Ovis aries: one gene and its partner. The protein of the gene in region 1 interacts with the protein of each later gene in a pairwise test. Links are inferred from orthologs where the notes say so. Each region holds a gene or a part of one and is shown on either strand. Other genes may lie near its edges.

The links.
Region 2: the proteins of MAP1A (region 1) and RHOB interact in a two-hybrid assay, tested with the Homo sapiens proteins (2 studies listed by BioGRID and IntAct). The link is inferred for Ovis aries from reciprocal best matches to the Homo sapiens genes MAP1A and RHOB.

The regions. Positions count from the first base shown.
Region 1 is NC_056071.1:53,082,911-53,098,505, reverse strand, and holds the start of MAP1A (microtubule-associated protein 1A), read right to left. Parts: upstream 6,679-15,595; 5' UTR 6,617-6,678; coding exon 6,379-6,616; intron 6,014-6,378; exon of another isoform or gene 5,851-6,013; intron 5,515-5,850; exon of another isoform or gene 5,430-5,514; coding exon 5,328-5,429; intron 4,930-5,327; exon of another isoform or gene 4,678-4,929; intron 4,466-4,677; exon of another isoform or gene 3,582-4,465; intron 267-3,581; exon of another isoform or gene 187-266; intron 1-186. UniProt on the Homo sapiens protein: Structural protein involved in the filamentous cross-bridging between microtubules and other skeletal elements.
Region 2 is NC_056056.1:28,318,947-28,334,358, reverse strand, and holds RHOB (rho-related GTP-binding protein RhoB), read right to left. Parts: upstream 7,140-15,412; 5' UTR 7,097-7,139; coding exon 6,506-7,096; 3' UTR 5,011-6,505; downstream 1-5,010. UniProt on the Homo sapiens protein: Mediates apoptosis in neoplastically transformed cells after DNA damage. Not essential for development but affects cell adhesion and growth factor signaling in transformed cells. Plays a negative role in tumorigenesis as deletion causes tumor formation.

The DNA of each region.
Region 1 (15,595 bases):
GGGTCCAGGCTGGCCCCACAGTCAGTTCATCTTCTTGGCTCCCCACCCTGCCCACCCCCGCCAGGCTAGTTCCAGACACAGCAGATTATGTTATCAACTCCCTTTCCTATTACCCGCATCCCACCTCCTCATCACAGCATCCCCCACGGCCGCATGCCAAGTCCTTTGGCCCGGTTAGGTTCTTACCCGGGATGTTGGGGGGAGACCCTCATGGAGGCTGCTGCTCCGGCCTCAGCCGGCAGCTTCAGAGAAGAGTCTGCGGCACTGGGGTGGGAGTTGGGTGGGGGGGAGGGGGGCGCTTGATGGTGAGGGCGGCGCCAGGGCGGGGAAGAGGGGCTGGTCCATGACGAGGCTCTAGAGACTTAACTGTTTCTTTGCCTTCACAGTGTCAGCGCTCTAGTGCTTCTGCTTGGCTGGGGGCTGAGGAGTCGTCTAGCAGCTCAAAGAGTCAGGGTGGTCTCCAGTGGCCTACGGGGCGGGGGTCCTTCTCCCCCACCGCTGCTTAGTTAAGATACATTCTTTTAGTGTTAGCTAAAGACCCAAACTCTGTGCTACACATTGCCGGGGATATAGGAGGTTGGGCCCTCCCCTTTCTCTCAGGAACCATCTGCTGCCTCTCCCCTCAGACTGGGGGAATGACCTTCAGTCCCTGGAGGAGCAGGAGACAAAAAGGCTGGGGGTCTAAAAGCTTAGGGTAGGAGTGAAGGGACTACTTGAGAAGGCTAGGGATGACAGAAAGGAGGCAGTTGCGCTGAGCTCTGCTGTCTTCCGAGCCACAGCTGTAGACATTCGGGGAGGGAATGTGGCAGAAAGAAGTCATTTTAGGTTGGGGGGTAGTTTGAAATTCTGGAGTGGACACACAGTCCCTAGTCCATCTCTAGCCCGTCTGGGGTGGGGCACAGGGGCCCTAAGACTGCCTACAATTCTGTGCCAATGCAGCACAGCACAGCAACCACACAGGCACTGATACTTGGAATTCTTGTTCTTTGAGTATGAAGAGGCATTTTCTGAAGTTTCAGGGCACATTCTACCTTTCAGTGAAATAGTTAAAGGGATGAAGGAAGATCAGCAGGGCCCCAGGCCTATAAGAGTTTCTTTCTATAGACCAATTATTAAATGTCACATAAAGTACACTTTGGACTAAAAAGATCTTATAATGACTTTGTAGGGTGTTGGGTCCCTGTTCTTGTCTCTGTACTTTGCTATGTCTCTCTGATGTCTTCATTTTATAGGGTCTTAATCCTTTTAACATTGGTCCTGTTTCCCTTAGCCTCTTCTGTCTCAGATTTGGTGACACGCTCTAGGACTCAAAGAGAGGACCCAGGGAGCTCTAGCACTGAGTTCCAACCGGTGATGCTCAAGTTCCTACAGGGTCCTTCCCTGCCCTGTTCCCTCCCATCAACCCTCCCCAGTCCTGGGCAATTCCTCCTGCTTCCTCCCAGTGACATCCACTCACTCTTCCCTAGCACCGGCTCCACCCTTGCCCCTGGCTGCCAAGAGCTGCTTTTGAAGGTCAGAGAAGCCAAAATAGTCTCTGCTCTCAGTATCCCCATCCCCCGTAAACTGGAGAGGAGAGGAGGAGCTGAGTCACCAGTGGGGGGGGGGGGGGACTAAAGAGGGGGAGGAATCTTTGCTCAGATCCGGGGATGCAAAGCAGTAACATGGCAACGGCCCCATTTGGATAGAGGAGGCCATCTGCAGAGACGTACAACACAAACCAGGCTGAGTTCCGAGCATCACAAAGGGGAGACACTTCCTTTCTGCAACTTCATAGTTCTTATTTTCTCCCACCTCGAACCTTCTCTCTCCTCCCTGCTTTCTAGAGCTCTCTGGAGTGTGCTAAGAGGGAAACTTGAGTAGACATGTGGTTTGAGAACAAAATAACATTTCCCAGACCATTGCAGAGCCCACCCTTATTCTCAGCTATCACCCCCAAGAGCCACACCCTGGGCAAGGTTCCAACTCACAGCGGAGTTTTCCTTCAGCCCTCACCATCTGAACAGCCTACCCACCACAACCACACCTCCATCCGCTGTGTTCCTTGGCTCTGCTGCAATGCAATGGTGAGATGCCGAGGAAGAGAGGCCCGAGCTCAGACACAAAGTGAGATCAGAAGTCCTGGATCTGAGATCTGACTCTGCCATTTTACTAATCATGTTTTTAAACAAGCCACTTAAGGTTTCTGAAAGATGACTTCCTGAATTCCAAAATGAGTATAATATTAGTACCACCCTCCAATAGCGCCACAAGGAGTAAATGACATAAAAGATGAAAAAGTGCTTCATTCCTAGAACCTTAAACCCGTAATGCACAAATGCCACTGGAAGTCTGTCTCCCTCTTGTGGAAGATTTATGAGAGGTCACCTAGGTGATCAGGAACTCCTAAACCAGAATATCTCAACTCTAGATTAATTTAGCTCCAAGGTAAAGCCATGACTCAAAGTGCCTGTCAGAAGGGACTTCACGTACTCTTCATGTCCCTCCTTTCCCATTTCTGACATCGGTGCGAACCCCAGTTCTAGGGGCCAATGAGCTGCTGTATCAGTTCAGAATAGGCTTCATGTTTGCAGAAGGAACAGAACTAACATTTCCTGAGCACATCAGTGGTGATGCAGCATCAGAAAGAAGGCTTCCAAACTGGCCCTTGAGCCTGTGTCTGTTTTAGTCCCAGAATATCAATCATGAATTATAAATTACGAAACACTCTTCCTTCCTATATGTGCTCAATAGTAGAAGCAGTATCACAGTTCTGAGCTTAAATAACTCCCACTGTTCTAATTGTTTTGGGGTTTGTTTTAAAATGCTTGGAAACTCCAGAGTTTTTTTTTTTTTTTTTTTTGCAGGAGTTAGAAAGGAAGCTTCCAAGTCACCATTGGAGACCAAAGTGGTACAAAATTTACCTTGGAAAGCCTTTACCACATTTGACCACTAGAAGGAGCTGGGCCACTGACTCTCCATCAAAGGGTCCCCTTCCTTTCCGTGTGTGTGTGTGTGTATGTGTGTGTGAGACTCTCCATCAAAGGATCTCCTTCCTTTCTGTGTGTGTGTGTGTGTGTGACTCTCCATCAAAGGGTCCCCTTCCTTTCTGTGTGTGTGTGTGTGTGTGTGTGTATGTGTGTGTGAGACTCTCCATCAAAGGATCTCCTTCCTTTCTGTGTGTGTGTGTGTGACTCTCCATCAAAGGGTCCCCTTCCTTTCTGTGTGTGTGTGTGTGTGTGTGTGTGTGTAAAGGGTGGTGGAAGGAATGACTGTACTCTCCCTATGTGTGTGTGTATGTGGTTTGTGTGTGTGTGTAAAGGGTGGTAGCAGGAATGATTGTACTCTATCATCACAAGATACATTTTTGTCCCCCCTTTTCAGCATTTTGACCTAGGGCTCGAGGAGAGTTGAGAGAGATGGTGGCCCAGCCTGTGGGGTGGGCAGAACAGATAAAATCGTAAGCTACTAGCATATGCCATGGAGCTCATCCCAGCAGCCTGGTTCCCTTGGCCTCCCCACTAATGGAAGCTGAAGGGAGGGGCAGTGTCTGCAGCTGCTCTGGGCTGACTGTTGTTTGTGGGGACAGCTGAAAGAGGAGCCAGCAGGGGTGGGGCTGTGGCTGTCTTGAGCCATGTAGGTTTTTCCAGGAAATTATCCACTATTCTCCAGGGACAGAGACAGGCCACCATGAAAAATGTCCAAACCTAAAAAAATTCAGAAGTAAGCCCTGATATTGGGTATAATTGTCCTAAGCTCCTTGAGGGCACCATGCTAAAACTCTGTTATTGAAAAGATCTGGTAGGTGTTTGTATGTCAGTCTGAGAGGTCCCTGAGAGTAACTATGCATCTCCCTGTAAGTATTTTCCCAAGCATCCCCCAATCTTCATCTGAAGAATGGCTAAGTTTTTTGGTTCAAGTTCTCTTCATTCTTACATCATTCCAGAAAGCATCCTTCTCTCACATCCATGTCCAAAAAGACAAGGTTTGAAAATTCAGCGTGAATTAATAACAATCAGCAGATACTTCCCAAACTTCAATTGAGTCATTAATTTCATCTGCTGTCATCCCTTTCTCCAGCCTTGCACCAAAGCTCCTAGGATTAATAAAGTGGTAAAACTGTCGATTTTCACATTGTTAGAGCTAATGGAGGAAGCCATGGCGTAAGTATACTAAACAGAAGGAAGTCTCAAAACAGCGACTGGTTAGCTTCATAGGAAGCCAGTCACATCAAGAAGATGCCAGCCTCTAGAAGGAGCTGGGCCACAGCATTTTCAAAATGCTGCACATAGTTCTAAGATAATATAGCATTAGTCACATTAAACTTGTCTTCTCTCTCCAGGAGCAGCTCTAGAGGGACAGGTGATCAGGGCAATGACCAACGATGTGGCAGTTAGCAGGAGGAGCAGAACAAGAAGGGGAAGTGACTGTCTAATATAATGGATAATTGAGAATCATCTGCATAAGATACGAATTCAGTCATTTGATGGTAAGGACTGTTGAACTGGGTGGATTTATATTCCATAGAGACACTGGTGTATGAATTGGTTTGCCGACATTTACCAATAACATGACCAGATGCCCAAGCATTTTTATAATGCGATGTAGAGCTTTCTGTAAGTCTTCCCATAGGTACTGTCATGGAATAATAGCTTCTAAAATGTTACTTTTCTCAAATTCCTGACCATTTCTCCCACACAGCAGAATGGGAAACTGCATCCTGCAAACTTTGATCTCAGAGCCAAATCTCAAAGTATGGCTAGCTCTTGCAGCAGTGAACCCAGGAAACGCTGCTTCCACTTTGCATTTGATGGTGCTCATCAGCCTTTGGGTCAAGGTTTCTGCTCTGTTCTGAACATCTGCTGACTGAGCCAAAGGAGGAACCAGAAACCCTAGAGGCTGGAGGATAGGCTGTGCAGCCTGAGGGAAAGTGCTAAGCAAGGATCTGGAAAGGTGAGTGGGGGAGTTCAAGGGTCCCTGTAAAGGGAAGCAAGGAGCCCAGGGTATACAGAAAGGGGAACACAAAAAAGAGAGTGAACTTTTACATAGGAGATGATTAATCACTCAAGAGGTACCTCATTCCCTTAGTGCACGTTGGCTGTCCTTAAACCACCCCTTATCAGGCAGAAATTACATTCTCCAGGCTTCCTCCACCATCATACCATTTGTCTGTGAAGTGACCTGGGTATGTGGAGATCGCTATAGAGCTCTACAGCATTCCCCTCAGGAACCCCTCCCTTCTCCCCAACCCAAACTTCCCACAAGGTCAGTTCTGCCAGAGAGACTGGACCTCTGCTCTTCTGTGACCATCCCTCACCCACAGCACCGAGACAAATGACACTAGTCCTAACCTTTGACCTCTGATGAGAAGTGAGCTAGATGCCGGGTAATGAAGAGTCTCAATTGTTGGTTCAAGTCAATGGATGATAAATCAATGTTCCAGGAGAGAATGCCTGTGAGAGAAAAAGAAACAAAGAGAGACCCAGATAAGGTCAGAGGGACTGGACTTCGGGGAGCATTTCCAAGCTCACAGAAGGGGTAAGGAGAGGGAGGGGATAAGGATGGTTGTCATGATCAGCCTCACTAATGTATTTAAGAAAGGTGGCCAGTCCTATGTCTAGCTCCCGTCCTGTACCATTCTTGACTTTGCTTGAGCTAGGGGAAGGAGGGCAGTTTAGGCTAAATTTGGTCATTGGTGAATTTGTATGTAGGAATTTTCTTACAGAGTTGCCCAGTTGTGATAGAAGTGACACCCAAGGGCCCATTTCCAGATACTAGGGGCTGCCTTCCCAATACAGCGAAGTAGGATCCTGGACTTTCCTCCTGTGGCCCCCTCCTTGCCTCCACTCCTCCGTGGCTTGCTTCCACCCGCAGGTGGCTCCGCAGCATTGCGCCACAGGCAGTGGAGGGCTGAAGAGCTTGTGGCCACTAAGGTCACTCTTTCAGATTGGCCGCTAGCACTGGGATATTTGAGATCTGTCTGCAGCATTCAGAAAGCACACTGTGCCTGTTCAGGAGACCTAAAGAAGAAACTAAGGTAGGGACATGGACTCTGCATGGGATGGTGAGGACTTTCAGGACCTCTGGCCCAAGACACTGCGGGAGAGAGGGGTATAACCGAGGGCATCCCCACCCAGGCAGTGCCAGCTCCCCCACCCCTACCCCCACCCCTGCCTCAGGGAGATTGCGGAACGCCGTGGGGCGTGAGGCGAGGATGGGGTTGTGAGATGCAGTTTGGGAGGATACGAACGCGTGACATAGAAGATGCAGGTGACAGGGGCTGATGATTCAGATTAACAGGGCGCGCAGATCTCAGGAAATGCACACTAGGGATAGAGGATGCAGACGGCAGGGAAGCACGGGATGGAGGATGTCCCGGGCGCAGCCAGGACAGCAGCTCACCTTGTTCAAGGTGGGCCCGAACGGCCCTCAGCTGACTCTCTGTAGCGATATCTCCGATCACGATGAGCAAAGAGTGCTTCCGCAGGTCCCAGCGTGCCGCCGCCACCACGGCTCCGGCCTCGCGCAGCGGCTCCGCGGGGTTCTGAGCCGGCGGAGAGCCGGGGCTGCGGAGCCCTAGCCCGGGATTTGTCTCCATGGCAACGCCGCGAGGCCGCCCGGGCCCAGCCTCGGTCTCCATGGAAACTCCGTTGGCGCGCTAGGCCAGCCGCGTCCGCTGCGGGGAGAGTGCGCGCGGTTCTTAAAGGCCGGCAGCAGAAGTCGTTCATTGGCTGCTGCCTGTCAGGGGGCGGAGCACTGGCGCCGCAGGGGCGGGGCTGCGGCCGCGACGCTCCGGCTCTGCGGTGTCGCTGGGCGTGGGGGGCGGGTACCGAGGTGGGGGGATTGGCTTTCCCCCTCCGTCATCACTCGTTTTCCAGAGGGAGCAGATAGTCGGACTAGAGTAGGGGTGGGGGCTCTGCGGGCCGGGTGGAGGGGCGAGTCTTTTGCCTCCGCGCCAGAAGAAGCTTCTAGGTAGTCTGTTTTCCGAGTAAGTGCTGTCTGGCAGTTCCGCAGCCTCGACAGTACTGAGGGGAGCCATCTTGTCCCTCTCTGCTTGAGTTTGGTGTATCCTTCAGTCGGTGTGTCTGTATTATCGTTGTTTGGAGGTGGTTTTTTTTCTTTTTTTTTTCCCTCCTGTCACTGCCTGCCAGGGTCCTAGATTCCGTCCTCGGTTTTTCTGTCCTCATTGCCCCAGGCCCTGGGTGTGCTCTGGAAGGCTGTGCAGTATCAGGACGGACAGAATGACCTTCCGGCCCTGAGTCCCTGGTGAGTTGTTATTCCGAAGATAGTGGTTGGCTTGTCTCCATCTCTACTGAGTGCAATGAGCTCAGACTGCAGCAAAGGGGATTTGAGTAAAACCCAGAAAAGTCCTTCCCAACTACTTGTGACACAGTGAATTGGGTAACCTTGGGAGACAATGGTATTAGTTCTCCCAGGGAATTCTCAAAACTGAAGGGACAGTGTTTGAACAAGGGAAGAGATTGGCCCTTCCAAAAAAAAAAAAAGAGCCAAAACCAGAGGATGTGAAAGAGGACTAAGGAGGCTGGCACTGTTTTATGATTGCCTGGAACATCCTTGTGAAAATGGTGTGGTGCTAAAAGCCTAATCCACACCCCCTCCCTCCTTTCCTCAGCCTGTCCCCACCACCTACTCTGCACTCCTGTATCTTCTTTTACCCAGGATACTGAGTCATTCTGTATGTGTATCACACAGAGCAGAGCTTGCCTTCCGCCCTAGGACTCCAGCAGTACTTTTGTGGGTTCCCTGTGCCATACACTTTCCGGATGGTACAGGAAAGAAAGGAGCACAGTGCTTGATTCAGCACGGCTGTGAGCCACCTTCTGATTCACCTCCTCTTTGGAGGCCTTGATGAGGGTTGGACAGTGTCTGCATTTTAAGTACCTCACAGTAGCCCTGGTTCTTATCATGAAGCATTTGTTACTAGCAAAACATCCATTCTGCAATTTGGATATGGCCCTATCTGAAACTAACATAGTGTTATATGTCAGTTACACCTCAAATTAAAAAAAAACAAACAACAAACCATGGACAGGGCCCTGAAAATCCTTTGTGTAACAGAAATAGTACCAGTGGAATATAAAATGGTGGGGATGCCTCACCCTATTTGACACATGAGACAGTGCTCTTCTCTACCCACCCGCCCCCCATTTGCAGATCTCAGTCTGGCAAAGAGCACAAATGGATGTGCAAGCCTCCCCGTTTCTGCAATCAGAAAAGAGTGCCACGTGGAGGCAGAGCCAGAATAGGTTGTAGAGAGAGGAAGGGGACAGTTACCATAGCAACTGTAAAGATGGGCCTTTAACTAGCACAGGGCCTCAGTATAACGGTCATCTGCAGTTAAGCACAGGCTCTGCTTTCATCAGTTTTGACAAAGAGATTAGACAATAGATCTGAATTCTGTAAGGAAGGACCGCACACTGATCAGATGGTAGGGGCAGCAATTCAGGCCTGTGATGTCAGACCCTGCTAGAATTGGCTTTTTTTATTAATTAGAGCTGCAAATACAGACTGGTAAAGGAAAGTGAAACTGTTAGTCGCTCAGTTGTGTCCTGACCCCATAGACTATAGCCTGCCAGGCTCCTCTGACCATAGGATTTTCCAGGCAAGAATACTGGAGTGGGTTGCCATGCCCTTCTCCAGGGGATCTTTCCGACCCAGGGATTGAACTTGAGTCTCCTTCATTGTAGGTGGATTCTTTACTGTCTGAACCACCAGGGAAGTCCCTAAATACGGACTGTGATGGGACTAAAAATAGCCTGGAATGTTAGTATCTGTGCGCCAGAATTTTGCAACTGCAGACAGAAAACAGATTGCATATATGTACAAGGCATAGAAAGCTGGATAAAAATTTTAAAGAAATACATTTATATATGAGTTGCAAAGTATTTAAAACCCTATTTTGTGTTTAGGAATAGTTTGCTGTGGCAGGAGCATTCAAAGACCCATCCAACTGAGAACCTAAGATATACGTGATTGTGAAGCATGTTCAGTAGTGTGTGATGGTGATAGAGCCTGCTGTAATGTTTCATTTAACTGTTTACCCCTCAAACTGACCAGGTATGATCTTTTGGAAATTGTGCTCTTCTATAGTTTCTTCCACATTCTTGTCCTATAGCATTGGCAAATATAGTGGTTACAATCTGCTTTCCAAACTATTTTGTGATGAAGGACCCTTGAATTGTGAAAGGGGTCTCTAAGGATCTATCACTGAAAAAGGAAGTTAGCGTAGATTTCAAAGGAAGACACTATTACAGGCTCTTTGCTTGGGTATGTATGGGAGTGGGCTCGAGGCAAAAGATATTACAGATCGTAAATGGTTTGAAAGGTAATTGTAGCCTTGGCTAAGTTTAAGCCACTTAAGGATTCTCAGCACCCAGACCTTTGTCAGTTCATAATGTATAGTGATAAATATGCAACAGGTAAATTATACAGATACTTAACAAAGTAGGAGGGGCATTTCTATGTTTTTTTTTGAAATAATGTCATTTTGTTATTTATATTATTAAAGTTATCCTCATGAGAAAATGACAAATGTATTGGAATGAACTACTTTCATCTAGAATTGTGTATGTGTGAGAGAGGAAGGCGCCATCGTCCTTTGAATACTTAGGGTCTCCATAGGACTTAGGCTAGCTCTGATAATTCGTAAAGAAAATGTACTGGCTCCTCCCCGCTAGTCCAATGAATGTCAGTTTTATGGGGATCTCAGCTCATTTGGCAGAATTCCAGCTGGCTGTGCTGGATTGCATAGTCTTATCAACCAAGATATACAAAAGGAGCTGAATGCAGCTCACATTCCTACCCTGTACTCAGTTGTGCCTATTAAAGCATTCTTTACAAAGAGAGAGGTGTGTTGAATTACAGGATTGCTGTGTCAGAAGCTTATCCTTGGCTTTTGGGGAGAATACTAGGATCATAATACAAACCAGCAACCATAAGGTCACCTCTTTGCATGGTTTATCTGCAAAGGCATGGTTTATCTGCATGGTTTATCTGAGTGAAATAACCTCTAATGAGGCACTGAATAAAAATAATCTCTAAAAAGTTTGAGATGGGGAAGAAGTCTGCATTTATTACTACTCTATCTTCCACACAGAAGAAGCCCACAATAAACATTTTTTGCATAATTGTCCTAATTATTATTTATTCACTAAGTAATGGGAGGATCAGGGCACTGGGTTTCCCCTCCCTGTGCAGAGCATTGAAACGGACAATAAAGAAACTTTTTCTTCCTTCGCTATCCACACACTTCTCTTAAAGTCATTTCCAAGAGTAAAAAAGAAACATTTATGGATATCATTTTCTCTTTTCTGTTTGATTAGTGTCTGAAATGAAAGTCAGTGTTTGGCTGTGGTCTCTGATAACCATCTTTTCCTTTAGTCTAAACGAAGTTGCTCTTACTATAAGAATCTCTAAGGATTTTCATGTGATGATGAAGAGGATGGTGGTAAAGAGGCACAAAATGTATTACTTAGTTTTGAGGCCATGCCTATGTGTGAATTAAATTTTGCATCATTTTTTTCAAGATTTCATATCATAGAGTCACTTTCCTTCAAGGAGTATTTACTTGGGTTGCAGAAATATTGTTACCTTTACAACATTCAGTTCAGTACAGTTCAGTTGCTCAGTTGTGTCCGACTCTGCGACCCCATAGACTGCAGCACACCAGGCCTCCGTGTCCATCACCAACTCCCAGAGTTTACTCAGAACTCATGTCCATTGAGTCGGTCATGCCATCCAACCATCTCATCCTCTGTCGTCCCCTTCTTTTCCCACCTTCAGTCTTTCCCAGCATCGGGGTCTTTTCAAATGAGTCAGTTCTTCACATCAGATGGCCAAAGTATTGGAGTTTCAGCTTCAGCATCATTCCTTCCGATGAATGTTCAGGACTGATTTCCTTTAGGATGGACTGCTTGGATCTCCTTGCTGTCCAAGGGACTCTCAAGAGTCTTCTCCAACACCATAGTTCAAAAGCATCAATTCTTCAGTGCTCAGCTTTCTTTATAGTTCAACTCATATCCATACATGACTACTAGAGAAACTGTAGCTTTGACTAGATGGACCTTTGTTGGCAAAGTAATGTCTCTGCTTTTTAATATGCTGCCTAGATTGGTCACTTTCACTAGATTGGTCATAAATTTTCTTCGAAGGAGCAAGTGTCTTAATTTCATGGCTGCAGTCACCATGTGCAGTGATTTTGGAGCCCCCCAAAATAAAGTCTTTCACTGTTTGCACTGTTTCCCCATCTATTTGCCATGAAGTGATGGGACCAGATGCCATGATCTTAGTTTTCTGGATGTTGAGTTTTAAGCCAACTTTTTCACTCTCCTCTTCCACTTTCATCAAGAGGTTCTTTAGTTCTTCTCTTTCTGCCATGAGGGTGGTATCATCTGCATATCTGAGGTTATTGATATTTCTCCTGGCAATCTTCATGCCAGCTTGTGCTTCACCGAGCCCAGCTTTTCTCATGATGTACTTTGCATATAAATTAACTCAGAAATCGTTTGTCTTCTCATCAGTTCTCTTTCCTTTTGATTTTGGTTGTACTGGGTCTTTGTTGTTGCACTTGGGCTTTCTCTAGTTGGTGTGAACAGGGGCTACTCTTCATTGCAGTGGGTGGGCTTCTCACTGCGGTGGCTTCAGTAGTTGTGGCTCACGGCCTCTAGGCCTGTGAGCTCAGTAGTTGTGCAACACAGGCTTAGTTGCCCTGTGGCATGTGGTATCTTCCCAGACCAGGGATTTAACCCATGTCCTTTGCACTGGCAGGCAGATTCTTAACCTATAGGCCATCAGGGAATTCCTTATCACTTCTTGATCCTTTATCATATGTCTTCACTTCCTTTTCTAACAATACTTCCTCCAAAATACCTTGCATTAACCCCTTCATTTAGTCAGTCTGAACCACTTGCCTTTCCCTCAGTCATTCTTACACTTTCTGTTCAGGTTGTCTCTTTCCCCCTCAGAATGCCCAGAATTCATTTTTAAGTCATTCATTCAGTGATGTGTATTAAGCACATACTGTGTGCCAGCAAATGAAACAGAGGTCCTTGCTCTTGCGGAGCTTATGTTCTAGTGGGGAGGAACAGATAATAAATAATAATGTGGAAAATTCTGAAAGAGATGGGAATACCAGACCACCTAACCTGCCTCTTGAGAAATCTGTGCTCAGGTCAGGAAGCAACAGTTAGAACTGGACATGGAACAACAGACTGGTTCCAAATAGGAAAAGGGGTATGTTGAGGCTGTATATTGTCACCCTGCTTGTTTAACTTATATGCAGAGTACATCATGAGAAATGCTGATCTGGAAGAAGCACAAGCTGGAATCAAGATTGCTGGGAGAAATATCAATAACCTCGGATATGCAAATGACACCACCCTTATGGCAGAAAGTGAAGAGGAACTAAAAGCCTCTTGATGAAAGTGAAAGTGGAGAGTGAAAAAGTTGGCTTAAAGCTCAACTGAAGGGTTAATAGGGTAGCAGAGATGTGCCTGCAAACAGGCCTCTCTGCTAGGGCTGGACGTCCTTGCAAACGAGGCGTTCTGCCAAAGAGTCTGGACACAGCCTTGAGTTTAATGGTCCCTTGCAAACGAGGGAGCATTCCCTTCTTGTGATGAAGGAATGGAGGGCTTTGTATAGACTCTGCAGTAGACTAGGATTTTACTCCCCTTTGCTATATGATAACATGTATGCACCTGCGCTGTGCTGAAAAGGCTTATTCATGCAGTCTGGAATTCTGCCTAGGGGGCTTTTATAATAAATGGCAATTAGTTTTTTGCCCAGTTCTGTTCCTCCGGCTGGAGTGTGCATGTTGTCTGTCTCTTGTGTGTCTTGTTCTGTGTCATTTCACTCGTAATCTCCAACACTCAACATTCAGAAAATGAAGATCATGGCATCCGGTCCCATCACTCCATGGGAAATAGATGGGGAAACAGTGGAAACAGTGTCAGACTTTATTTTGGGGGCTCCAAAATCAGTGCAGATGGTGACTGCAGCCATGAAATTAAAAGACGCTTACTCCTTGGAAGAAAAGTTATGAGCAACCTAGATAGCATATTCAAAAGCAGAGACATTACTTTGCCGACTAAGGTCCGTCTAGTCAAGGCTATGGTTTTTCCTGTGGTCATGTATGGATGTGAGAGTTGGACTGTGAAGAAGGCTGAGCGCCGAAGAATTGATGCTTTTGAACTGTGGTGTTGGAGAAGACTCTTGAGAGTCCCTTGGACTGCAAGGAGATCCAACCAGTCCATTCTGAAGGAGATCAACCCTGGGATTTCTTTGGAAGGAATGATGCTAAAGCTGAAACTCCAGTACTTTGGCCACCTCATGCGAAGAGTTGACTCATTGGAAAAGATTCTGATGCTGGGAGGGATTGGGGGCAGGAGGAGAAGGGGACGACAGAGGATGAGATGGCTGGATGGCATCACTGACTCGATGGACGTGAGTCTGAGTGAACTCCGGGAGATGGTGATGGACAGGGAGGCCTGGCGTGCTGCAATTCATGGGGTCGCAAAGAGCTGGACACGACTGAGTGACTGAACTGAACTGAACTGAATGTCAGAAAGTGATTAGTACTGTGGCAAAAAAGAAAACATCATGATAAGCGTGACTGAGAATGCTGGAGCAGGGTGTGGTGATGGGGAAGAATGGTGAAGTGGCAGGAAAGGTTGCAATTTGAAAGGGGCTGGTTAGGGTGGGCCTTATCAAGATGAGACTAGAGCAGACTTAAAGGAAGCAAGGGGGTTTGGTCATTTGGCTATGTGGTAGAGAGTCTTGTAGGCTGAGAAGATAGCCAATTCAAAGTCCCTAAGTAGCAGTATGCCTGGTACATTCAAGGCATAGCTGGAGCCCACTGTGCCTGGAGCAGAGGAGTGAAAGAGAAATAGGAGATGAGATTGGTAATGATAGAGGCAGATCACGTGGGGCCTTGTTGGCATTGTGAGTTATTGTTAGGTTTTTACTCTGAGTGAAGTAGGAAGCATATGTAGGCTTTTTTTTTTTTTTTTTTTTTTTTAAGCTGTGCTGGGTCTTCGTTGCTGTGCGCTGGCTTTCTCTAGTTGCCACAAGAAATGATTTATGGGGACTCCTCTCTAGTTGTGGCGCTTCTCTTGTTGCAGAGCAGGGGCTTTGGGCAGAGGAGTTGTGGCACACGGGCTTAACTGCCCGACTGCATGTGGTATCTTCCCAGAGCAGGGGTTGAACCAGTGTTCCCTGAATTGGCAGGTAGATTCTTAACCACTGGACCACCAGGGAAGTCCTATATGCAGGCATTTAAACAGAGGAGTGGTATCATTTGACAGATTTTTACAGTATCACTTTGGCTGCTGTACTGAGAATAGACTGTAAAGGTTGTAAGGTTTAAAGTGGGAAACCACTCTCTTCATGACCAGTCCTGGATTTTGATCACCCCAGGACCTTTGACACGTGGGGGTCTGAGGGGCCCTGGTTAAAAATAATGAAGTGGGAAACCAGTCAAGCAACTTGCAGTAACCTAGATGAGCAATGATGTAGCTCGGATCAGAGCAGGGTCAGTGGAGATGGTGGGATGTTAGACACACAGTATTTTAAAGCTAGAGCCAATCTGATTTCCTGCCTTATCAAATGGGAAGTGAGAGAGAAAAGGTAAATAGTGACTCCAAAGATAAACCAAAAACTAAAAAATTACCTCTAGGAGGAAAGAGAAACAGATAGTAAGGCAGCCAAGGATGGAAGGTAGATTTTTTAAATTTATCTTATTTTGTAAATTTGACATTAGAATCATATGAATGTTTTACAGAACTGTAAAACAAAATTAAATCAAAATGACCAATCTGACAAATAACCTATTCCAGAATATATTTTTAAAAAAATCTACAAATCAGCCCAAAAAAGACAAAAGGTCAACCCAGCTATAAAATGGACAAGGAATTTGAATGGATTTTCACAGGAGATGGTACACAAATGACCAATAAATAGAGGAAAAACCATTTAACATCATTAGTCCCAAGGAAATGCAAATTAAAACCACAGTGGGCAGTCCCCTTGTGGCCCAGCGGTTAGGTTTCAGGCTTTCCCTGGATTCAGTACCTGATTGGGGAACTGAGATCCCACAAGCCTCGTGGCATGACAAAATATATACATACATATATATATATATAAAGCTACAGTGTAACATTCAGTTCAGTTCAGTCGCTCAGTCGTGTCCGACTCTCTGCCATCCCATGAATCGCAGCACGTCAGGCCTCCCTGTCCATCATCAACTCCCGGAGTTTACTCAGACTCACATCCATCGAGTCAGTGATGCCATCCAGCCATCTCATCCTCTGTCGTCCCCTTCTCCTCCTGCCCCCAATCCCTCCCAGCATCAGAATCTTTTCCAATGAGTCAACTCTTCGCATGAGGTGGCCAAAGTACTGGAGTTTCAGCTTTAGCATCATTCCTTCCAAAGAAATCCCAGGGTTGATCTCCTTCAGAATGGACTGGTTGGATCTCCTTGCAGTCCAAGGGACTCTCAAGAGTCTTCTCCAACACCACAGTTCAAAAGCATCAATTCTTTGGCGCTCAGCCTTCTTCATAGTCCAACTCTCACATCCATACATGACCACAGGAAAAACCATAG
Region 2 (15,412 bases), on another chromosome or scaffold:
AAAAGCAGTTGGTTGCTTGTCACTGCTGTGTCATACATAACTCCTGTCAGAACAGAGTGATTTATCTGCTTGATTCTGAGTATCCAGTATCTGTGGATTGTGCGACCCTTCGTGCAGTCCTGTCATTTTTTTAACCGACCTTTCTCTCATGCCCCAGAGCAGGTGTTCTCAGCCTTTGTCACTTCCTTGGGTCTCTTAGAAGTGGGTGCTCCCTAAACTTCTGTCTCTTGCTTAATCAATGCATTGACTCTCTTGCTACTTACTGAGGTGCTCGTATGGGTCAACACCTACTGGGCAGTAGACACACAGCAGTGATGGAGCAGACATGGCCTTTGTGCTCACTGTGGGGGTTCAGTTCAGTTCAGTTCAGTCGCTCAGTCATGTCCAACACTTTGTGACCCCATGGACTGCAGCACGCCAGTCCTCCCTGTCCATCACCAGCTTCCGGAGTTTACTCAAACTTATGTCCATTGAGTCAGTGATGCCATCCAACCATCTCTGTCATCCCCTTCTCCTCCCGCCTTCAGTCTTGCCCAACATCAGGGTCTTTACAATCAGTCAGTTCTCCACATCAGGTGGCCAAAGTATTGGAGTTTCAGCTTCAGCATTAGTCCTTCTAATGAATATTCAGGACTGATTTTCTTTAGGATGGACTGGTTGGATCTCCTTGCAGTCCAAGGGTCTCTCAAGAGTCTTCTCCAACACCACAGTTCAAAAGGATCAATTCTTCGGTGCTCAGCTTTCTTTATAGTCCAATTCTCACATCCATACATGACTACTGGAAAAAACAGCTTTGAATAGACAGATCTTTGTTGGCAAACTTATGTCTCTGCTTTTTAATATGCTGTCTAGGTTGGTCATAACTTTTCTTCCAAGGAGCAAGCGTCTTTTAATTTCATGGTTGTACTCACCATCTGCAGTGATTTTGGAGCCAAAAAAAAAAAAAAAAAGTCTGTCACTCTTTCCACTGTTTCCCCGTCTATTTGCCATGAAGTGATGGGACCAGATGCCATGATCTTAGTTTTCTGAATGTTGAGTTTTAAGTCAGCTTTTTCACTATGAAGGTTAGGACCTGACCTGCAATCCCCTCTCACTCCACAAACTCTTCCTGGATCATCTCATTTCTTCTCCAAGGATTTCCATTGCCACTTGTGCCCTAATGACTCCCTCTTGGTTCAGCTGACCCATAAACTCACCCAATTCTGTGCCAGACAGTGCCTGTAGGCATCCTGACTTGTGGTTGGCAATGAGGAAACCAATCTCCATGTAAAGTGGGATGGCTGAGCATCACAACCACGACTCTTATCCCACAATGCCTTTACTTGGTGATACTTTCTCTGATCCCAGCTCAAAGCACCATGGCGGAAAACCTCAGAAGTGCTACTTCTCTTTCCCACCTGCCCAGACATGGATAATATTCTTCCCAGTTGGAGCAGAAATTTCCCTCCCTCCCCACACCCCATTACCACCCAGCAATACCTTCAATTCACCTAGAGTACGGCCTCAGAAAGACAAAGGAATTCCCTTTCCTTGTCGCCTAAGGTCTAATTTCTAAGACCACAGTTCTTATCCCTTCCTGCAAGGGATCTTCCCAACCCAGGGATCAAATCTGCATCTCTTATGTCTCCTGCATTGGCAGACGGGTTCTCTATCATTAGTACCACCTGGGAAGCCCAATACAGACATAAAATAGAACAAATAAAGAGCCTAGAATGGGGCCTGATGCCTAGTCAATAAATAGTAGCTATTGTCATTATCATTGTTATTATTACTTGTACAGATTGAAATCTCTATGTGGGGAGGGACCATGCCTGCCTAATTGTCTACTGAGTTCCAAGCTCCTAGCACAGTACCAGGCACAGTGTCCTTTAGTCAACAATAAATATTCAGAAGGAATGAACCAGGGTCCTCCAGACTCTTACACCTCTCAGGCCAGGAAAGGGGCTGCAAGAATTGATTGAAAGAGCAGCCTGAGTACCCACTTTCTCTCTCCAGCCAGAAGATGTACCAAGTAAAGTGGTTAAGAGTCTGTCCCACAACAGGCTGGAGTACCAGGTCCCTTTGGGGTGTTGCCATGTCCCTGAGCCCAGGCTACGTGTTTCCAGGAGTCCAGTTCTCACAAAGCTAGCCCTTGTGTTTGCCCCGCATCCCTGGGAGGCACAGAGAAAACAATGAAGCCATCATCACCAACTTCCATTCCTAGTCTGTGTGTGGACAGGGAGGGCCGGGGAGAGGCTGTGTTTGACTTGGCTGGGGAACATCATTTTTCTTCACTGAAGAAATGCATGCCAGAGGGGCTAAAAGTAGAAGGTAGTTCTCACCCAAGAGAGCTGTATTCATCAGAGGCCAGTAATATAAAGTAATTACAGTAATATAAAGTATATACAGTAATATAAATATAAATATTTATCACAGTAATATAAAGAAGCTGTATCTTCCAACTACACATCACCCACTCCTGCTTTAAGATTCGGTTCAAATGTCTCCTTCTCCATGAAGCCCTTCCACCTTCCCCTTGGCTCCTAGTGTGCCCTGGGCCTGCTATCTCCATCTGAGCATGCTCAGTGAACACCTTCCTGGAACTTGCCCTCGCCAGGGCAAGGACTGTGTCTTATTTGCTTTTGCAACCCTTGTCTTAGCAGAGCAGTGTGCTGCTGCATTCTGAACTCGGGAATGGCAGAAAGATATCTTTTGAAGGGCATTAAACCCCCTGTTGTACCAGAGTGTGAAGAGAAGACTGGGGTTATGTGCGGGTCTTCATAGGAGGGAAGTTCTCTGAAAACTTCCCTGAACTTCTCTGGGAACTTCTCTGAAAGCTAGTGCTGTGCTCGCTAAGGTAGGGCAGTCAGGGCTACAGGCCACTGCACCATCAGCCTCAGGAATGTGACTCCCTTTATTGCTGAAACGACCTCCCTGCACGGTATAATGACCAGAACTCTCCCTTATTCCAAGCCAGGGATTCTCAAAGTGTGGTCCCTGGACCAGCATCACTTGTTCTCTGCCCCAGATGTGCTGATCAGAGACTCTGGAAGCTAGGCCCAGCCATCTGTGTTTTAACCAGCCCTCCACATGATTCTAACTCAGGCTTGAGTTTGAAAACCCCTGTTCTAAGTACACGGAAACACATGTGAAAAAAGACCGTAGAAACACAAGCCAGACTGACTTCAAATTAAGATTAAACAAGAACCCAAGCCAATGCCCTTTGCTATGAAATGCCCAGGATCAATGAAACACCCCACTATTATCCATGAAACCATTCAACAGGCAATTAAATGAACTCAGCACATTTATTTCAAATGTGCAAAATGAATGTTCATATCCTAGGAGTAACACCAGATGTTTTGCCTCTTTTTTTCCTAATTGATTTTCCAGCCTACAGCAATTCATCTTTATATTTTCCAGTTGGATCTAATGCAAGAAGAGTGTGTTCCGGCAGCATTATTAAATGCCATGCATTTAAAAACAAGCATAACCCAGGCTGCCATGCGTCATCTGGGTGGCTGTCTTCCTAAAATTAAAAAACAACAACAACAAAAACCAGACAGCAATAGGTACCAGGCAGATTAGAGCAGGCAGGAAACCCAGAAAAGGCCCTTTCAAAAGGTCTCCAGGCTCTTGGCCAGTTGCAAAGCTGAATCCTGGGCGCTAAGCCCAAGCTTGAGCTCTTCTCCAGAGTCCTGCACTCCCTGGTACCAAAGGATCTGCAAGCTGTAAAACTTGCAAGTCAACATTTTGTTTTTCAGTGGAAATTTCTGTCTTGAAAATGAAGACAAAAATGGCTGAGGGATGGAGGTGTGTGTGGTCAGGACCTGGGGAAAGGATGAGGCTGCGGATCCTTCCCTCAGCTTGAGTGGACCCTCTCTTTGCTCTGTGCCTCCAGCAGCCCAGACAATTATCCTCTGTTAACCAATGAGCCTGGCTGTGCAGGAGGCCCTGTTATTGATGTGTTTCGTTTGTTTTTAAGTGGGTGAAAAGTCATCAGTAACCAGGCTTGCTTTACTCAGCAAAAGCTCTTGGGAGTCTGGGGAAAGACTGGGAGACAGAAGCCTCAAGTTTTAAAGCAAAGGGCTTTAAAAGGGGCCTTCTCTGCTCTGCCTGGGGGGAAGGGAGGCAGAGGGATGGAGTGGGTGGCAGTGGATGGCAACTAAGGCCTAGAAACCCATAAAGTGTTGATTCCAAAAACAAAAACCACATGTCTTAGGTAGTCAGGGGAGGTTGGCAGTATCTGCTACCTTTCCTAGAAGCTGCTGAGGCTGGCAGTTTTGAGCCATCATACCTGTAGAGGGATTTTGATGTGGTCTCTGAAGGTTAATCTGCCTGTCTGGTTCTGAGATCCACTGCAGCAGGCTGAGTGTCTGAAATTAGAGCTCATCATATTTCCACCTCAGAACCTGGTTGCTCCAACTTTAAATAGCAGCCACCCAAGACCTCCAGTGTTCTGTTGGTAAGGCGGCTACTCTTGGTACTTAGAACAAAGCATTCTGGGCTCCATACAGACACTCAAATGAAAGTTCCACAGCAGAAGGATTGGCTTCTGATTTGGGCTCTCCCCGACTTCTACCCAGGAGCTCAGGTCAGAGATAACATCCTACAATCTCAGGGGGGACACTGTGTAACCCCTGAAGATCTGAAGGGAACCCAGGAACCAGTCTTTGAGACAGTGATTAACAAAAAGTTATCTGAATGCACAAATGACAACTTTCCAAGTTTCAAAGAATAGGATGCACAGGCTACAAAATAGACTTAGACACAGTGTATAAGCCATTCAGACAGTTCACATTAGGTCAAAGGTTGTGGCACTGGGAGCCTGGGTAACCTCTGGCCCTGGGGCAGGAGCAACCTGGTCATCCTTGGCCACCCAATCCCCTCACATCCTCAGAGATTTCATCCCCATTTCCTACAAACACTTGGAGGGAAATAGAGTTAGTGGAGCCTCACCTAGCCGAGTTCTCCCCTTGCCCTCAAATTCACAAGATTTTTACACATCATTAAACCACAGGAGCCATTTTATAAATGTCATCATCATAGTTTTTTTAATATTTTACATAAAAAACTGTATACACAGCTTATAGAACTTTTATGTAAACATCATAAGCTCACCACTTTGTCATTTGTCAGTTTATTTAAAAAATAAAAAAACAAGACAATTTAGTAGAAGTACCACTGGATGGGGGAAGGGAGGGGGAGAAAAGAGACACAAGAGGGAGGTTTATTCTCTGTACAGAGATGCAGAGAAAATTTCACACAGCTTTAGAGACTGCCTTGAGGGAAAAAAAAACCAACAACAAAAGGTTTTAGATAGGCCCTAATACTGGTTACTGCCCTTTATCAAAAGAGTGCGCATACGTGCACAAATAAAATCGCAAAATAGAACAGTGTTGCCACTTTTTTCAAAAGAAAAAAATTAGTGGTTTCTTTTTCTTCTCCTTGTTTTTTAAAAGTCATCATTTTTTAAAAAAACATCAGAAGTAGATGAGGTTACAGCGTACAAGTGTGGTCAGAATGCTACTGTCTTATGCAAATGACAAGTGCATTAAATGTCAAACAATGAAACAATTGTGCAAAGAATTCGTTCCAAAAAGAAGAAAAAAAACAAGTTTAAGCCTTTAAATAAATCAAATAACATCAGTTTCTTGGACTGAACAATTTTCACTTGCAGGACAGGCACAAAGTTCGCTTATGGCAAAAACAACCTGCAGCACACTTCACCCCTCCTTCTCAATGGCTAGTGAGGGGTTCGCCGGGGGGTGGGGGGTGGGGGGGCTGGCTGGCAGGAGACAGGAGTCTGGAAGCTGTGTCCTCTCAGGCCCCAAGTCAGCTGCAAATGTCTTCCCCAGGGGTAGGAAACATGGCCAAGTCTTGTTCGTGCTGGGATGACGCCTCACTCAGACCCGGCTGGAGCTGTTCTAGCGCCCTGTCACTCCACCCACCACCACCATTAAATAACACCATCCTACCTCCGAAAATAAAATTATATCTATATTTATATAACACCCCATCCTCCCCAGCCCTCCCCTCCCGCAGGTCCCGAGGTCTATGTTACAGACAGGGCATAGCAGGCGCTCACTGGTTACAGACGCACATCCGATGGGGCGCGGCCGCATCCCGGCGCCAAGCTCATGTCCGGGGAGCAGGGGCTGGCGTGGGGTGAAAACTCGGCAGCGGGGAGTCGAACATACACACAGCCACACACCCTGAAGAGGCTTCGCTCTTCAGAAAATGGTGTTCAGGGGACCCTTGGCACTCAGTGGGGTGGCCAAGCCTGTGCCACACAGCCGGACGCACAGACACTTGGAAAGGGGGCGCCGGGTGCCTACCACGCGGCCGATTCTCGGGTGCCAGAGCCTGAGTCTCCAGGCCACGGCTGCCGGGGCTGAAAGCAGACGCCAGGCAGTCCGGTGGGGGTCTTTGGGGGGGGCAAGGTTCTCCCCTTCTCCGGGCTCGTGGGGGACGGGCCCGGGATGGGGAGCCGCGCTGGCAGGGGCAGGCGGGTCGGGCGCGGCCCTCATAGCACCTTGCAGCAGTTGATGCAGCCGTTCTGGGAGCCGTAGCGCTTCTGCAGCGCGGCGCGCGTGGCCGTCTCGAAGACCTCTCGGACGCCCTCCTTGGTCTTGGCCGAGCACTCGAGGTAGTCGTAGGCTTGGATGCGCACGGCCATAGCGCGGCCGTCATCCGTGCGCACCGGTTCCTGCTTCATGCGGGCCAGCTCTGTGCGGACGTGCTCATCGCTGCGCAGGTCTTTCTTGTTGGCCACGAGGATGATGGGCACGTTGGGGCAGAAGTGCTTCACCTCGGGCACCCACTTCTCGGGGATGTTCTCCAGCGAATCCGGGCTGTCCACCGAAAAGCACATGAGGATCACGTCGGTGTCCGGGTAGGAGAGCGGCCGCAGGCGGTCGTAGTCCTCCTGCCCCGCCGTGTCCCACAGCGCCAGCTCCACCTGCTTGCCGTCCACCTCGATGTCGGCCACATAGTTCTCGAAGACTGTGGGCACGTACACCTCGGGGAACTCGTCCTTACTGAACACAATCAGCAGGCACGTCTTGCCGCACGCGCCGTCGCCCACCACCACCAGCTTCTTGCGGATGGCCGCCATAAGCGGGCCGGGCCCGGGCAGCAGGAGGGGCCCCGCGAACGCCTCGCTGCCGTCCCGCTCGCCGCTCACTGCTCACCTCGGGCTGCGCGCTGGGGACAAGGGTCGCTAGCTGCACCCAGGTCCCGGGATGGCGCGCGTTCCCTCGTAGTGCTCGGACTGCCGCGGCGGGGGCGGTGGGGGACTCGGGGGCATAGGGCGCACGGTGCGTCTCCGCGCTGCTCCCGAGCGGCGGCCGCTCTCCTCGCCCCTGGTCTCGGGTCGGCGCCTTTGTGAGCAAACGGTGGCCAGAGCAAGCGGATGCGGCCTAGCTCCCTCCTGGATCTCCCTAGGCCTAGGCGAAAACACAAGAGAGAACACGAACTCAGCCCGACTGCGGCGGCAGATGCAGGCTGCGGCCCTAGCGCCCGCTATTTAAAGAGTTCGGCGACTTTCTTAATATAGCCGTCCAATGGGAAGCAAGCCGACTGAGCTCATCGCTGCGGAGCTTGGCTTTGATTGGCCGTCCCCTGCAGCCCACGGGAGGGGCCGGGCGGGCTTGATTGACTGCCCAGGCCGCGGGGCTGGGAGAGGCGGCGACTGGGGAGTTTGCCGCCGCGGCGGGAGCTGCGGGTCTCTGGCTGCGTCAAGGTTCGCTCTTTCTGCGCGCGGGACCGAAGGGCTGAAGACGGCTGCCCGGAGCAGCCCGCGGGGCCTGGGCGAGCGGTTCCGAGACAGGAGGCACTTTGTGGGCGCGTGAATGAGTCTCTCCCACTCGTATTGCCCTGCTTGCTTCGCAAACTCCCAGCGGGTGGTCGGACCTGTAGGGTAGGGAGCGGCTCCTTTAACGTGGTTTTGTTTTTAAATGCACAGACACGCAGACACACACGCACACAGGCTTATTTCCAATCAAGGTTGTGGTTTGTTGTTGTTGTTTTTTCTTTTTCTTTTTTCTTTTAGAAGCAGCCCCTCCCCTTGTCGAGCCTGCCACCATGCTTCCACGAGGGTTCTTTCCCTGGGCCGTGTTTGGATCTGCTAGAGGGTGCCTTATGGGTGGGCCTGGTTCCGGTTTCCGGCTTTAACAAGCCAGTCTCTTTACCGCTTTCTCGGGCACCCAGCCTAAGGTCTCCAGGTGAAGGTTCAGGGAAAGAGGGTCAGTGAAAAGGGAAGGTCGAGGCTGATTGCAGAACTTCAGGTACACTCAGGAAGTAACCAGACAGAAAAGGGCAGCCTCAGTCCTGGCTTGCAGGATTAATTTGGATCCTGGTTTATCTGAAGTAAGTAGTGCAATAAAATCCAACCACCCCACACCCCATTAGGCAAGAATAGGCTGAAGCCCGGATGGGTGGGCTGAGAAACTTGCAGGCTAGAACAGGACAAATTAGTGTGTGTGTTTGAGGGTGGGGAGTGTGCTAGAAACCTAGTCTCTGGCAACCCACCAGGACTTGTTTCATCTACTCCTTGTATTCTGCAGGAGATGACACTTATGTCTGATCTAGAGGGGCCTAAGTCAAAGCATCTTAATGGATAGAAGAGGTGGGGAGGCGGATGGAAGGAGGAAGGGAGGGAGGACCTCCCAGGAAGGAGGAACAGCTTGAGCAAAAACAGAGATGTGGGGAAAGAGTAGGACAAATTCTAACAAAAGAGAATAGCTTAGTGTGGCTTCCCTTGGTTGGGAGAGAAAGAGTTGAAACTCAGGATGGAGACCAGTTGTGGAGGAACCAACTACACAGGTTGGGCCATTTCCATTCTGGGGGGAGTGGGATGCTTCTTGGCGTTTCAGAAAGGAGAGACTCACTACATCACGATGAGGTTCAGTTCAATTCAGTCGCTCAGTCGTGTCTGACTCTTTACGACCCCATGGGCTGCAGCTTGCCAGGCTTCCCTGTGCATCACCAACTCCTACAGCCTGCTCAGATTCATGTCCATCTAATTGGTGAGGCCATCCAACCATCTCATCTTCTGTCATCCCCTTCTCCTCCTGCCTTCAGTGTTTGATCACGATGAGGTTATTGCCTCCTACTTCTGACTCCCCCTCTGACTGGAAGCCGTTGGAAGGCCCGAATTCTTCCTTATCTTAGCATCTTGAAGCGCTGGCACAATGCCGGAGTCTGCATCTACGTAAAAATCAGTAAATGACTGTGGAGAATTCACTTAAATGCTCAGGAACTTAGTTGGAACTTTCTGGAAGTCTCTTATCTCAAACTCCAGTCTGTGCTAACCATCCAGTCAAACCTGGGCACCAGCTGTAACTGAGCCATTTACTCATATATGCGAAAAATGTGATCCATGTGTCAAAACGTAGGTCTCAGATGGACACAGATATCATCAGGTCAAATAAGACATTAGTTCTAGTGTCATTTAAAAGCTAACCTCGTTCAAATGACCAAATCTGCTTCCCTCACGTTGGATTACCTCCACTACAATGCCTAGTGTTTTTTTGTTTGTTTGTTTTTCAGATCTAAGAAACTGAACTGTCAATAAGTAAACAATTTTTCCACAGTGGAATCTCACAAGAGAAAGTAAGGTTTTGTTTGTTTTTTTCTTTTGGATCATTTGTTTAAGGCTCCATTCTTGAAACTTTTTCCTTTCTTTTAAATTTTAGTTAGCCTATTAGAAAAATCTTACCCAAGTTTTTCCTCCTATAGTCAAAACCTTTTATAGCTGTATTGTTAATACTACTTTCCTTCATCTTAATATAACTTGGGAATCTTGGCTGTGTCATTAAGCTTCAAATATTAAGAAAACATCAAACAATTAAAGCTTTGTACCATGTATTTAAAAGAAAACAACAGGAAAACAAAGAATCAGGAAGAAGGATTCAATTCACTCATTTCCTGATTCTCAGACATATTATATGAGGTGTTCCAAGCTTGACTCTCAATATCAAAATAATATCTAGAAATATTCAGTTGGTAAATTATGCCAAAATAAACAAGTAGAAAAAAATCTATGTTCTGTAGCAACTTCTTTCCATGGTATTCATTTGTATATCCAGGGTACTTTGACAAGCTTTGTGGACAGTGGCTACTTCAAAGATCGTACCAGTCACAGGATAAACTTTCCGAAACTAGATGATGTCCCAAAGGGTCTCCTCCTTGCCTCTCCCCTCCCTTCACAATACGCTGGCAAAAGGCAAGGATAAAACTGAATCATCAAGAACAAATCATTTTAATAGTTAACTTTATTAACATATACATTCATTGTATGACAGATATCCACACTAGTGAGAGAGGGAAATTATCCTTCAGACAAAAGGGAGATGTTAATCTACCTCCTGTCTTCAGCTTAATTTATTTCGTCTTTTTTTGTCCACTGTCTCCTACACATTGCCTGTAAATCAGCCCCCCTCTCCCGCCCCCCTCACTCCATACAGACAAGAACAGACTAAGAGACTGGAATGTTCATTGGATTTTAGTGCCACCTTGTGGTAATTTTTACAGGGCTTTTTTTCCCCCCAACTCAAAAAATATATATATAATTGTGGTGGTTCAGTCACTAAGTCATGTCTGAGTTTTTGCCACCCCCACTGAGGACTTCAGCTCCTCAGTTCTCCACTACCTCCTAGAATTTGCTCAAATTCATGTACACTGAGTCAGTGACACTATCTAACCATCTCATCCTCTGCTGCCCCCTTCTCCTGCCTGCAATCTTTCCCAGGGAATGGGCTCTTCGAATCAAGTAGCCAAAGTATTGGAGCTTCAGCTTAAGCAACATTCCTTTCAGTGAATATTCAGGACTGATTTTTCCTTAGGATTGACTGGTTTGATCTCCTTGGTGTCCAAGGAACTCTCGAGAGTCTTCTCCAGCACAATTGGAAAGCATCAATTATTTGAAGTTGAGCCTTCATTATGGTCCAACTCTCACAACAGTACATGACTACTGGAAAAACCAAAGTTTTGACTATAGGGACCTTTTTTGGCAAAGTGATGTCTCTGATTTTTAATACCTTGTCTAGGTTTGTCATAGCTTTCCTTCCAAGGAGCAAGTGTCTTTTAATTTCATGGCTGCAGTCACCATTCACGGTGATTTTGGAGCCCCCCAAAATAAAATCTGTCACTGCTTCCACATTTTCCCCTTCTATTTGCCATGAAATGAAGGGACCAGATGCCATGATCTTAGTTTTTTGAGTGTAGAATTTCAAACCGGCTTTTCCACTCTCCTCTCCTCATCAAGAGGCTTTTTAGTTCCTCTTCACTTTCTGCCATTAGAGTGGTATCATGTGTATATCTGAGGTTGTTGATATTTCTCCTGGCAATCTTAATTCCAGCTTGGTGATTCATCCAGCCAGACATTTCTCATGATATACTCTGCATGTAAAAACAGGGTGACAATATCCAGCCTTGTACTCCTTTCCCAGTTTGGGACCAGTATGTTTGTCCATGTCCATTTCTAACTTTTGCTTCTTTACCTGCATATAACTTTTTCAGGAGACGGATAAGGTGGTCAGGTACTCCTGTTTCCAAGAATTTTTCAGAGTTTGCTGTGATCCACACAGTTAAGGCTTTAGTCTAGTTAATGAAGCAGAAGTAGATGTTTTTCTGGAATTCCCTTCCTTTCTCCATGATCCAACGAATTTTGGCAATTTATATACGTATATAAGCTGTATACAAATATCTTACAAATATTTTCTATATATATTATATATGTGATTATATAAAACTTTAGCCAGAAGGGAGGTATTTTATGACTATTTTTAAGATATTTCATGGGATGTAAAACCTCTACTTGTTTCACAAGCAGCTTCTTTAAAAATTCTTCACATATATTTATATACACACAGAACTTTTTTCACATACACTTAAAAAAATTAATTCCTTCCTAGTTAAATAGTAATGACTAAAAGAGATTAGAGGAGATAACAGCTGTGGAAACTTACTAATTTATATACCAATGGAATTTCTTTTAACCTAATCACGATGCATAGAAAGTTATAAAGTAATTTGAACTGCAAAAATCATCTGCTTTCTCCTCCAGCTAAAAAAGCATCATTGGATAATCTGATATAATTAGAACTAATAATAATTCATTTATGGATAAGCATTTACTGGAAGCCAGCAATACCATAGACATTCCTGGCATTCTTTTGATTTTTAAACTATTTCTAATTCAAGTAGTAGCTTAGAGTGTCTAGGAAAATTGTCAACTTTTCTTCTCAATGCAGTGAGTTTCTAAAAGGGAAAGGCTATTGTAGACCTAACTGTGCTTTTTCATATGGAAAAATCGAAGTGATCCCATATGGTCTGTTTGGGACCCATTTAGCCATGCATTACATAGCTGAGGCATCAAACTGCTTTCTGGGTTCTCCAGCTATCAGTTCAGCTCACTTCAGTTGTTCAGTCGTGTCTGACTCTTTGCGACATTATGAACTACAGCACGCCAGGCTTCCCTGTCCATCACCAACTCCCAGAGTCCACCCAAACCCATGTCCATTGTGTCAGTGATGCCATCAGCCATCTCATCCTCTGTTGACCCCTTCTCCTCCTGCCCTCAATCTTTCCCAGCATCAGGGTGTTTTCAAATGAGTCAGCTTTCCTCATCAGGTGGCCAAAGTATTGGAGTTTCCGCTTCAACATCATTCCCTCCAATGAACACCCAGGACTGATCTTTAAGATGGACTGGTTGGATCTCCTTGCAGTCCAAGGGACTCTCAAGAGTCTTCTCCAACACCACAGTTCAAAAGCATCAATTCTTCAGCACTCAGCTTTCTTTATAGTCCAACTCTCACATCCATATGTGACTACTGGAAAAACCATAGCCTTGACTAGACCGACCTTTGTTGGCAAAGTAATGTCTCTGCTTTTTAATATGCTGTCTAGGTTGGTCATAACTTTCCTTCCAAGGAGCAAGCATCTTTTAATTTCATGGCTGCAATCACCATCCACAGTGATTTTGGAGCCCCCCAAAATAAAGTCAGCCACTGTTTCCACTGTTTCCCCATCTATTTGCCATGAAGTGATGGGACCGGATGCCATGATCTTCGTTTTCTGAATGTTGAGCTTTAAGCCAACTTTTTCACTCTCTTCTTTCACTTTCATCAAGAGGCTCCTTAGTTCTTCATCTCTTTCTGCCATAAAGTGGTGTCATCTGCATATCTGAGGTTATTGATATTTCTCCTGGCAATCTTGATTCCAGCTTGTGCTTCCTCCAGCCCAGCGTTTCTCATGATGTACTCTGCATATAAGTTAAATAATAAGCAACAGCAGTTCAGACAACCCTCTCCCATCCCGAGATTGTGACCCGGTTAGACCCAGGCCTAAGACAGAGAGAGTGCACTCACAGGAGAACAACCATAGCTAGAAGGTTAAACTTCAAAATGTGGACATTGACCTCTGATCAGACTCCCTGTGTCACGCCAAGGGGAGTAGGCAGTGCGCAATGGGGCAGCTCCTGATCAGTCTAAAAGTGCATTGTCCAACCTAATAGCTGATAGCCTCATGTAAAATGCTGCTGGTACCACTGAAGTACTGTTTTTAATACTATCTGATTTTAATAAATTTAAATTTACAAGCTGATATTCAAGGTAGGGGAAAAGGGGAAATGTTACTCGAAGAGTATAAAATTCCAGTTTGAAGATAAATCCCTGGAGGATTCCCTGGAGGTGGGAATGGCAATCCACTCCAATATTCTTGCCTAGAGAATCCCATGGACAGAGGAGCCTGGTAGGCTATAGTCCATAGGGTCACAAAGAGTCAGACACGACTGAAGTGACTTAGCATGCACGCAGAAGATGAATAAGTTCCAGTAATCTAATATATAGCATGATGATTTTAGTTATAAATACTGTATTATATGCTTGACAATTGCCAAGAGAGTAGTTCCTAAATGTTTTCACCACTAAAAGAAATGGTTAAAACAAATGGTAATGATGTGATGTGATGGAGGTGTTAGTTATTGCTATGGTGGTAATCATTTTGCAATATGTAAATATATCAAATCAACACCACTGGGACTTCCCTGGTGGCCCAGTGGCTAAAACTCCATGTTACCAATGCAGGGGGCCTGAGTTCAATCCCTAATCAGGGAACTAGATCCTGCACACTGCAGCTAAGATCCAGTGAAGATTAAATTAAAAAAAAAAATCAACACTGTTATTGTATACCTTAAAGTTACATAGTTTTAGATGTCAATTATATCTCAATAAAGCTGAATAATCAAATTAACACTGATGTGAGTGTGTGTGTGACTTGCTCAGCTGTGTCTGACTCTGTGATCTCCATGGAATGTAGCCTGCCAGTCTCCTCTGTCCATGGAATTCTCCAGCAAGAGTACTGGAGTGAGTTGCCATTCCCTTCTCCAGGGATTTTCTCAGCCCAGGGATTGAACCCATTTTTCCTGCACTGCAGGCTGATTCTTTACATCTGGGCCACTGGGGAAGCCCAACACTGATATGGACCACCCCCAAAATTTTTTAATAAAAAACTAGTAAAAACTGATATTCAATTCAGTTAGTTGTTGGGAAATGTTTATGTATGTTTGAAACAAATTGAGTATGTGAAACTACTTTTTGTTACTAGAAATTTTTTGAAATCTACATACAGATTGAAAATTTTTGATGAAAATTTAGCACCCAAATTGAGATGTGCTGCAATTATACAATAAATGCTAGAACTTAAAGACTTAGATTGAAAAACATGTAAAATAGTTCATGAGTAATTTTATATTAATTGTATGTTGATATGATATATTTTGGATATAGTGCATTTTTCAAGTATGAGATTTAATGTTAGGTATATTTGGATATGTGATTCAAATAAATTTTACCTTTGTATTTTTTTTTCTTTTACTGTGACAACTAGAATATTTTAAATTATACCTGCAGTTTATATTATATTTCTCTTGGACAGTACTGCTCTAAATGATCTACAAATTCATGTGACTCTCATTCACCACCCACCCTTTCAGGGAGTCACCTTGATATGAGGCCCCTGGAGCTCCTTAATCTTCCCTTGGGGGTTAGAGGTAGGATTTCCTTTTATTTCCTAAACTCTACTGCCGGATTTCAGACAGGCTCAGACCCTCAGATAAACACTGTGCTTAGGGGGCAATCTAGGGTCTCCCTGTCCCATTTCATCACCACTTTCCAAGCCAGGCCCCTCTAGGACTTTTCAATGCAGCAGCCCCCTCCCTTGCCTGTCTGACTCTTTTCCCAGCACTAGGCAATGTTTTCTTGAAGAGTAGAGGCTATTTGGGCATTTTTGCACAATGACAGGCTTTTCTGGTGGCTCAGATGGTGAAGAATTTGCTTGCAATGCAGGGGACTCTGGGTTCAGTCCTTGGGTCAGGAAGATCCCGTGGAGAAGGGAATGGCTACCCACGCTAGTATTCTTGCCTGGAGAA